2 linked regions of the Arabidopsis thaliana genome follow. The protein of the gene in region 1 interacts with the protein of each later gene in a pairwise test. Each region holds a gene or a part of one and is shown on either strand. Other genes may lie near its edges.

Region 1 (4,225 bases):
GTACTCCGCCTGCAGAAGCCAGCCCCGGATTTCCACGAGACGCCCCATCTGTGTTTACTTTCACCCAACCCACACATGGAAGCACCCAACCAATCAGCCGTTCAACTCTAGGTTGCGTACTTCCAACCAAAGCGTTACCCAAATGTGCTCTATACACTTCCACAACCCACTCTTTAACAAATTTCACACGGTCCCTGCATTTCGTGTTCTCCCCAAATATATTACTGCATCTCCACTTCCACCCCCACCATATTATCACCGCAAAAATGGTGGACCACGGTATATCCTCACAGCTACTCCTATCACACAAGTTATCATAGAGCCATTCAAACAGAGATTTCGAAAAGAACCCCTGCTGCCTCCTTCGCGGCACAAATCTGACCCAAATCCCCAATTGAGCTGGACAGTCTCTAAACACGTGAAGCACAGATTCAACTCCACCTATATAAACCTGAGACACATTCGAGGCGCTAAGATGTCTTCGATGCCGTTCCTCATCTGTCATAACTATGTCCAGTTTGGTTATATATACTTTCTGTTTATACTTATATTTATATATATTTTTCCTAAATATAACTATTACTTTTGATTATTTGTTAAACATGTCCATGGATTTAACTCAATCTCAATAAATGCTTCTTAGTCTTGTGTCTCTTTATCATAATTTGTTGTTGAATAAATTTTTTATTTACCATTGTAAAAAAAAAACTGAAAATTTGCGTAAAATCATTGTAACTCTTCTTTTCTTTTCTTTTTGACTTTTTGTCAAACGTTTTCTTAATCATTATAACTCTTCATTCGATATGTTTTCAATTAGGATCACATCTTTCACTATGATGTTGTTCTACTGCTAATATAGTCTCGTTAAATGCTTTTGAGGGTTACGTCCATTTACCATATTCTTCGTAAATGTATCTTATATTAGTTATGGTTAAAAACATATTTTCAAGGTTGTCTCAATCTATTAGAGTCATGTCTCTGTGTCATAAACTTTGATTTCACCTTTAGCAGATAATTTTAATCTTATGTTTTTATATTTTTTCATAGTATTTTATAATATACATCATTTTGAGTTCAAATTCTTTAGTAAATTTTATAAAAATTTAAAATATTTTATCGTGCAACACCACCTATAAAAAACCTATAGTCCACCCTTTTTATCTTCTTTTCCTTAGTTATTGTATCATTAACAAAAACTCCAAAAAAAAAAACAAGAAAATATGTAAACCAAAAGCCAAACATCAGTTAAAGTTACAAATTAAAGCCATTCATGGTCTAAATTTCTAAAAAGAGAACCACCCGCTAACCTATTATCAAGTCAAAAGGATAGTTTTCCATGAATTCATTTGTGTGGTGCGATTTTGATTCAGTAGATTAATTACCATGAAATACATCATATCAATTTACTAATTTTATAAATATTATCTTTGGATAGTTACCGACGTTCAAATCTACATAATGCAATAATGCATGTTGTTTACAACAGCATTGTGTAATTTTTATTAATAATCTAATCATTTTAAAATTTTATTATTTAATTAAATTAATTTAAATATAAATAAATACTTATGAAAAATATCTATACAAAAATGTAAAAAAATATATTTAAAATTATCAACTCATCTAGATCTTTCTTATATTTAAAAAGTTAACTTTCAATTACTAGATAGATACACTAAGTGAGAAAGGTAAAATAAATTATTTGCTCCTTATATAGTGTTTTTTATTTATACAAATTGTTGTTTTATTAGATCCCTTTTATTCTAGATTTTTCTTACTTCATTTGGATAATGTGCTTAACTCAGCTTAGATTTATTATTTTATTTTATTTTGGGTTAATTGCCATACATTAGTTTTCTTATATATTCAATTACTCTTTTGGTTCACTGAAACTTATGAGAAACTTTTAATCCAAAAAAAAAAAAAACTTATGAGAAACAAAATGAATATTTTTCTTGATCATTTCTCTCTCCCTCTGTTTTAAAATTTCTCCTTTCCTCTGTTTTGCATGATTTTTAACCTCAAAAGCTCTTACATTTCAACAACTGTTTTCTAAGGCCACTAATCACTCGGATTTGTGTCAGGTGAAATGGATAGTTACTGGAGACTTAAAAACTTGGTGAATGATTTGCCAGTTAGTACTTCTTTAAGCCGACAAGGATCAATATACTCATGGACAGTAGATCAGTTTCAGACCAGCTTAGGGTTAGATTGTGGATCAATGAACATGGATGAGTTGGTTAAGCATATATCAAGTGCTGAAGAAACACAAGAGGGGTCGCAGAGGCAAGGCTCAACTACTCTGCCTCCAACACTTAGCAAACAAAATGTTGGTGAAGTTTGGAAATCTATCACAGAGGAAAAACACACCAATAACAATGGAGGAGTAACAAACATTACTCATCTTCAGGGACAACAAACCTTAGGGGAAATCACTCTTGAAGAGTTTTTCATCCGTGCTGGAGCAAGAGGAGGTAATACCAATGGTGGCTCCATTCATGACTCATCGTCATCGATTTCCGGTAATCCACACACTAGTTTGGGTGTTCAGATTCAGCCAAAAGCCATGGTTTCTGATTTTATGAACAATATGGTTCCAAGGAGTCATGATTCTTATTTGCATCAAAATGTGAATGGATCTATGTCAACATATCAACCACAACAATCTATCATGTCTATGCCAAATGGTTATTCTTATGGAAAACAAATCCGATTCTCAAATGGTTCCTTGGGATCTGGTAACCAAAGTCTCCAAGATACGAAGAGAAGCTTGGTCCCAAGTGTTGCGACAATTCCAAGTGAAGCCATAACATGTTCACCGGTTACCCCATTTCCAACATTAAATGGGAAACAAAAGATTAACGGTGAGTCTTCATTACTCTCACCATCTCCATACATTAGTAATGGTAGTACTAGTACAAGAGGTGGGAAGATTAATAGTGAAATTACCGCGGAAAAACAATTCGTTGACAAAAAGCTTAGGAGAAAGATTAAGAACCGAGAATCCGCAGCGAGATCACGGGCTCGAAAGCAAGTAAGAAAATGTTATATATATATATATATATTATCTATCCATCTTGATTGATTGTGTTTTATAAGTACCAAACTGCTCATTTTTGCTCTCTAGGCTCAAACTATGGAGGTTGAAGTTGAACTTGAAAACTTAAAGAAAGATTATGAAGAGCTACTAAAACAACATGTAGAGTTGCGGAAAAGACAAATGGAACCAGTAATCTATTTATTCCAATCTTATTTCCTCAACCGTACATCAATTAAAAACTTGAGAACCTTGTTCTAACTTTTTGTATATCTAAATAATACGTGAAGGGAATGATTAGCCTTCATGAACGACCGGAGAGAAAGCTGAGGAGAACGAAATCGGACATCAAGTGAATCAATGAAACCCGAGTTGGAGGATGATGATGAGTTTATTTTGTTCATCATGTTTTGTTTTCGTATATTTTTGACCAAATAAGCTATTTATTAGACATCTTATTCTTAAACCCATTTGATAATGTCCTAAAGATCGAATTCTCATGGTCTAGGGGAAAATCCAAAACTTATTTTTATTGGAGCCAGAAAATACTACTATTAAATATTATTATTTTGGCTTTAGAAAACAATGTCATACTAATCTCAACCATAAAACTATAAAATTATATTATAGGCTCAATAATTGCTGCTAAATTTTTTCACTATTGATTCATTTGCAATATACAAAAATAACTCCTATAATAAATCAAAAAAATTCAGTGTTGATTCATTTGCAACAAAACACGAAAAATTTCACTGTCTTTTGTGGTTGGCTTTGTTCTTCCTGGGACATGGGAGTGAATTTAGCAAATCGTGGTTCCTCTTAGGTCTTCGTTCATGCCTTTGATTTTGCTTTGTCTTTTTGATATGTAAAAATTTACGTTTGACAGTTTTCCTGTAATTTAGGGATTCGCTTCCTTCTTTTGGATTAAGTTTTTGGGATGTATTTATTTTCCGCCCGCTCTTGTAATTCAAACTTGCATATTTCCTTGGTAATTGTACTTAAATAAGATGACAAAAAAACTAAAAGTTAAAGTAAATCAAACTATATAATCACTTGAAAGTTATAAACTAATATCCAATTTGATTTGGTTTTGTTTTCTTCACTACCTCCAATTGCAGGAACAACATTTGTCAATGATTGCAGTAGCAACCTGTAATAACGGTTGTCTACGAGTTGATTCCTTTTTTT
Region 2 (4,509 bases), on another chromosome or scaffold:
TATATCTCTTTATCAGCTGTATTTGCACTTTGCTTTACAAGTTATCTTTGACAATCTAAAGTCTGTCCCTAATGTATGAATTCCAGTATGCATAATCAGATGCTTACTTCATCATATGTATGAAAAAGGGTTTTAACTTCAAAAGTAACCATCACATGCGATGAGATAACTCAGGTACAAGATGAGCCTTGGAAGGTCAGAGTCCTTACCAGTTTTGGACCAAGTGGTAGGCCAAGGTGAGTAAAGTGAGGTGTTTTAGATGAAGAGCTTCTTTGTAAGTCAGGTATGAATAGGAGAGCACATGCTTATGTCATCCCGAAATTCTACCAAACATGAAACATTGATATATATGCTTCTATGATGTTCTTTTTTGAGGCTCCAATAATACAGCCTCATGTGTCAACTCGTCTCCCTCAGGCCACAAGAGTCTTGTCCTGGAGATTCCAGAGTGCAGCAAAGTCACATAAGCAAACATCCAAATCAATAGCTTGGTGGGTTTGATCAAATTCCAAACTGAATTATGAATGACTCTGATAAGAGTTCTCCTCAGAACCGTTCTACGCATCTTGTTAAGTCTGTACACATTCCTGAAACCTGCCTAAGCAAAAGAGTAATTGCAGATCACAGAAAGAGAGATGAGCACAATTTGGAACTGCAGACACTGATACACAAACCATCATACATTGATACTTCACAAAAGTACATCTTGATATGTCAGATACTATGAGAGTTCTTTTGGTAATTCGCATTGCTACTACCAATGTAACTCTACAATGCTAAAAAAGAGAATGAAAAAGAAGAAGAAGAAAAAAAGCATCGCGCTATAACTTAAGAAAACCTAAAGATCAATAATAATAACATCTTCTCCAAATCGTATGAGCTTTAGATCCAACCATTGCTCCTTGCTTCACATCAGTAACTCCTCCACAATCTACAATCCTACAACTTCTTACCTATACAACAAACAAAGCACAACTGAAGTTTCAGTAAACTCATCAATCACAACAAAACACACATAAAAATGAAAACTTTACCTGAAGCAGCTCTTCGTTTCCCAAGTTTAGATTTCTCAAGCTCCAATTGCATCTCCATCAACATATTCATTCGTTGTAACTCAAGCTCCTTTGCAACTTCCATTCTCTGTTTCTCCAATTCAATCATCATCTGTTGCTTCTTCCCCTCGATTCTCTCAAACGCTTCCCCTAACTTCAGAATCGATCTCGCTAGCTCCCTAAAGGCTGATCCTTCACTCGAATCTACATCTTCAACTTTACGATGCTTCCTCACCACAAATCCCCAATCACCCGCATCATCATCATCTTCTTCGTCGTCATCATCATCATCATCATCGTCATCGAGAGAGCTACCAGTTGATTTAGATCCAGTAGGATTCAAATTAGGGTTCATCAACGCCGATTTAACAACAGCACCGGACGATTTCTTCATAACCGGACCGATTAAGAAATCGAGTCTATCAAAGAAGCACCAATTCGATAAAGGTTTCGCCTTTTCAGTTTTGTACTTCTTCTTCAACGTATCGATCCGGTTTTTGCACTGTACATCGGTCTTTGGCCGGCCATTCCCGTGGCTTGAATTGACGGCGTCGGCGACTTCTTTCCAATCGTTTTGCCGGAGATTTCCCCGGTTGAGATTGACGTAACGATCTCCCCAAGCTTCGATCAATGTCGCCGTAGCGTCTTCGCTCCACCAATCCTCTCTTCCCGCCGGTAGACGGTGAGTCTTCGACTGAGTCTCCGGCGTCGTCTCCATCTCGGAGTGGGAAAGAGAGGAGGCTAACGTGCGCGGTGGAGAAAGAGGCTTAGGATAAGAATTTCTGTTGGATCGGATTTTTGGTAAAGTTAAAAGAGAAATTACGGTTAAAGGAGAGATTTTTGATTACCGGCGGTGACGTCAGCAACGGCGATTATCTTCTTTCTCCTACCTCTCTCTTTTTCCTCTGCTAACCGAATCAATCACACTCATTTCTGAAAAACCGGTTATCGAAAACGGTTATCGAAAACCGGTTTAATCATAAATTGAGAGTCCTACTAACTAGGCTACTACTAGTTATAGTCAATTTCAAGCTTCTTTTAATGCGTTTCTACGGGTAATGATGATAAGATTACATTATTAAACTCATAGACTGATTGATAATAACGATTAGGGCTAGAATCTCATCAGTTCATGTCATTATAGGAAATCTTATAACGTGTATTTTTGTGTATTCTAGGAAAGACAGTAAATATGAGGTTGTATTAGTTTTGGTAGTGGTTTTTAAAAGTCATAATTGGAAAGAAAGAAATGTTATCAGAATATTAAGAAAATTTATACGTTTTGTGTATTCCAGTAACAAGATCATTTACGTTACGCCGTAACAAATTGAAGTTTGGAAGTGAAAAATGGTGGGATGTAATTAAGGAAATAGGTAAGCAGGCGAATTGTTAGGTAATAAGAGAGAGCATCGCAAACGTGTTAGGTCGTAGACTCTATGTCTATAATGTATGTTTCGTGCCGTGTCTTGTCTAATTGTCTTTTTGCTGTCTCGCCAATTGATATGTTAGTCCATGCCTAACTACTACTGTTTCCTCATAACTACTAAAATGTCGCTGAAATATTTGAAAAAAGAGCTGAGGTGTTTTTTCTGTCGATCAAAGTTTCCACGATGGTCTTGGTGAAGAGCTAGTAGAAATAAGCATATAGTTAGTGATGTTAACTTGGGCATTGAATAGCCATTTGTTAAATGGGTATGTGCAAAAAAAAATAACCCATTTAAACCCATTTAGAGAAAAATATCAAATGGGGTTAAATGGGTTACCCCAATTAAACCTATTTAATAAATGGGTTTACCCACAAACAAATGGGTACCCATTTATGTTTTATTTTATATTAGTTATTTTTATTAAAAAGTAGATAACTTAATTATAACTAAAATAAAGAGCAAAATACTAAATATATTTAAAACAAAACGTAAAATCACGTTTTTCCGCTAAAACCCATAAAATTACGTTTTCCCACCAAAATCACGTTTTTTACCAAAATCGAAAATCACATTTTCCCACCAAAATCGTAAACCGACGTTTTTCCGCCAAAATCGTAAAATCACGTTTTCCCGCCAAAACTGTAAAATGACGTTTTCCCACCAAAATTGAAAATCACGTATTTTCGCCAAACCCGTAAAATCACGTTTACCCGCCAAAATCGTAAAATCACGTTTTCCCGCCAAAATCGTAAAATCACGTTTTCCCGCCAAAACCGTAAAATCACGTTTTCCCGCCAAAATCACAAAAAGTGTTTTCCGCCAAAACCGTAAAATCACGTATTTCCGCCAAAACCGTAAACGACATTTTCCCGTAAAACCGTAAAATCAAGTTTTCCCGCCAAAATCACAAAAAAAAATATTTTTTGCCAAATTTGAAAATATTATTATCATTATATGTTATTGAAATCTATATTTTAGTAAATTATAAATATTTCAGATTTAGCTAATGTTTATGGACTGTTGTTATTTATCTATTAAGTTTATGAATTAATTAATAAAAGGCAATATCTCACTTAATTGGTTTAAATGGGTTCACATGGATTTACTAAATTTAAATGGGTAGGGTTAAATGGGTTTCAAAAATAAATGGATTTATATGAGTTTAAAGTTAAATGGAGTGGGTTTAAATGGGATGGGTTTAATTGGGGTGGGTTAGCCCATATTAACATCACTACATATAGTTTTCTAAACTAAATATGTCATTATCATCATTTACTGGTTTACATGCATCTTTTATACATTTCAAACTTTCTTATGAAAACGCAGATGTGAAAAGATAAATCATGATTTACAGGTTATCAAAGTGATGTGAGTTGGAACGTAAAACAATTTAGTTTGTCAACTGAATCTTAGACGCAATCGATTATTGTTACTCTTAAATCACTTTACAATAATATCAAATATCACATCCTGCAGCCAAGTAATCGAGCTAATCCATGATCAAGTATAGGTGGTGAAGCAACTAAAAATGTAGCCAATTTCGTTTGTACGCATAATTAAACAATGCTATTTATTTTAGTATGTTGCTACTTGCCAGTTGCTACCATTGGGATCTCGAAAACACACAAACGTACGTGCATGTTGCCTAATATAGTCTTTATTATTGTTCCTAAACTAATTAAGACAAATTAAAACAATATATAAAGTAACAAAAAAAAATCCCACTTTCCTTCAAACTTGAGTCTTGCTTGTACAGACAGTTGTACTACTTGTGGAAGCTGTTTAACTCAAATTAATATTCTCTTTCTGTTATTTTATTTAAGGAAATACAATCACGTGACTGAGATTAGCACTAGTATACTATATATATACATCACGACGCTGTTTTTATACATACTATATATCAACGGCCAGAATTAAGTAAGTAACCATCCATCGCCAACCGGAAAATGACGTCATCTTCACCGTCTCCACAAGCCTCGATGCTTTTGTACTGGCACGAGAATCAATACGACGACCGGAACTTCCAG

What was found.
Region 2: the proteins of AT5G42910 (region 1) and AT3G11100 interact in binary tests that used the Arabidopsis thaliana proteins (3 or more experiments, as listed by UniProt).

The regions. Positions count from the first base shown.
Region 1 is NC_003076.8:17,201,819-17,206,043, forward strand, and holds AT5G42910 (Basic-leucine zipper (bZIP) transcription factor family protein), read left to right. Parts: upstream 1-1,923; 5' UTR 1,924-2,089; coding exon 2,090-3,034; intron 3,035-3,127; coding exon 3,128-3,229; intron 3,230-3,327; coding exon 3,328-3,393; 3' UTR 3,394-3,562; downstream 3,563-4,225. Other genes in the region: AT5G42905 (Polynucleotidyl transferase, ribonuclease H-like superfamily protein), read right to left, coding at 1-505. UniProt on the Arabidopsis thaliana protein: Could participate in abscisic acid-regulated gene expression.
Region 2 is NC_003074.8:3,475,551-3,480,059, forward strand, and holds AT3G11100 (sequence-specific DNA binding transcription factor), read right to left. Parts: upstream 2,351-4,509; 5' UTR 1,771-2,350; coding exon 1,035-1,770; intron 954-1,034; coding exon 940-953; 3' UTR 637-939; downstream 1-636. Other genes in the region: AT3G11110 (RING/U-box superfamily protein), read left to right, coding at 4,429-4,509.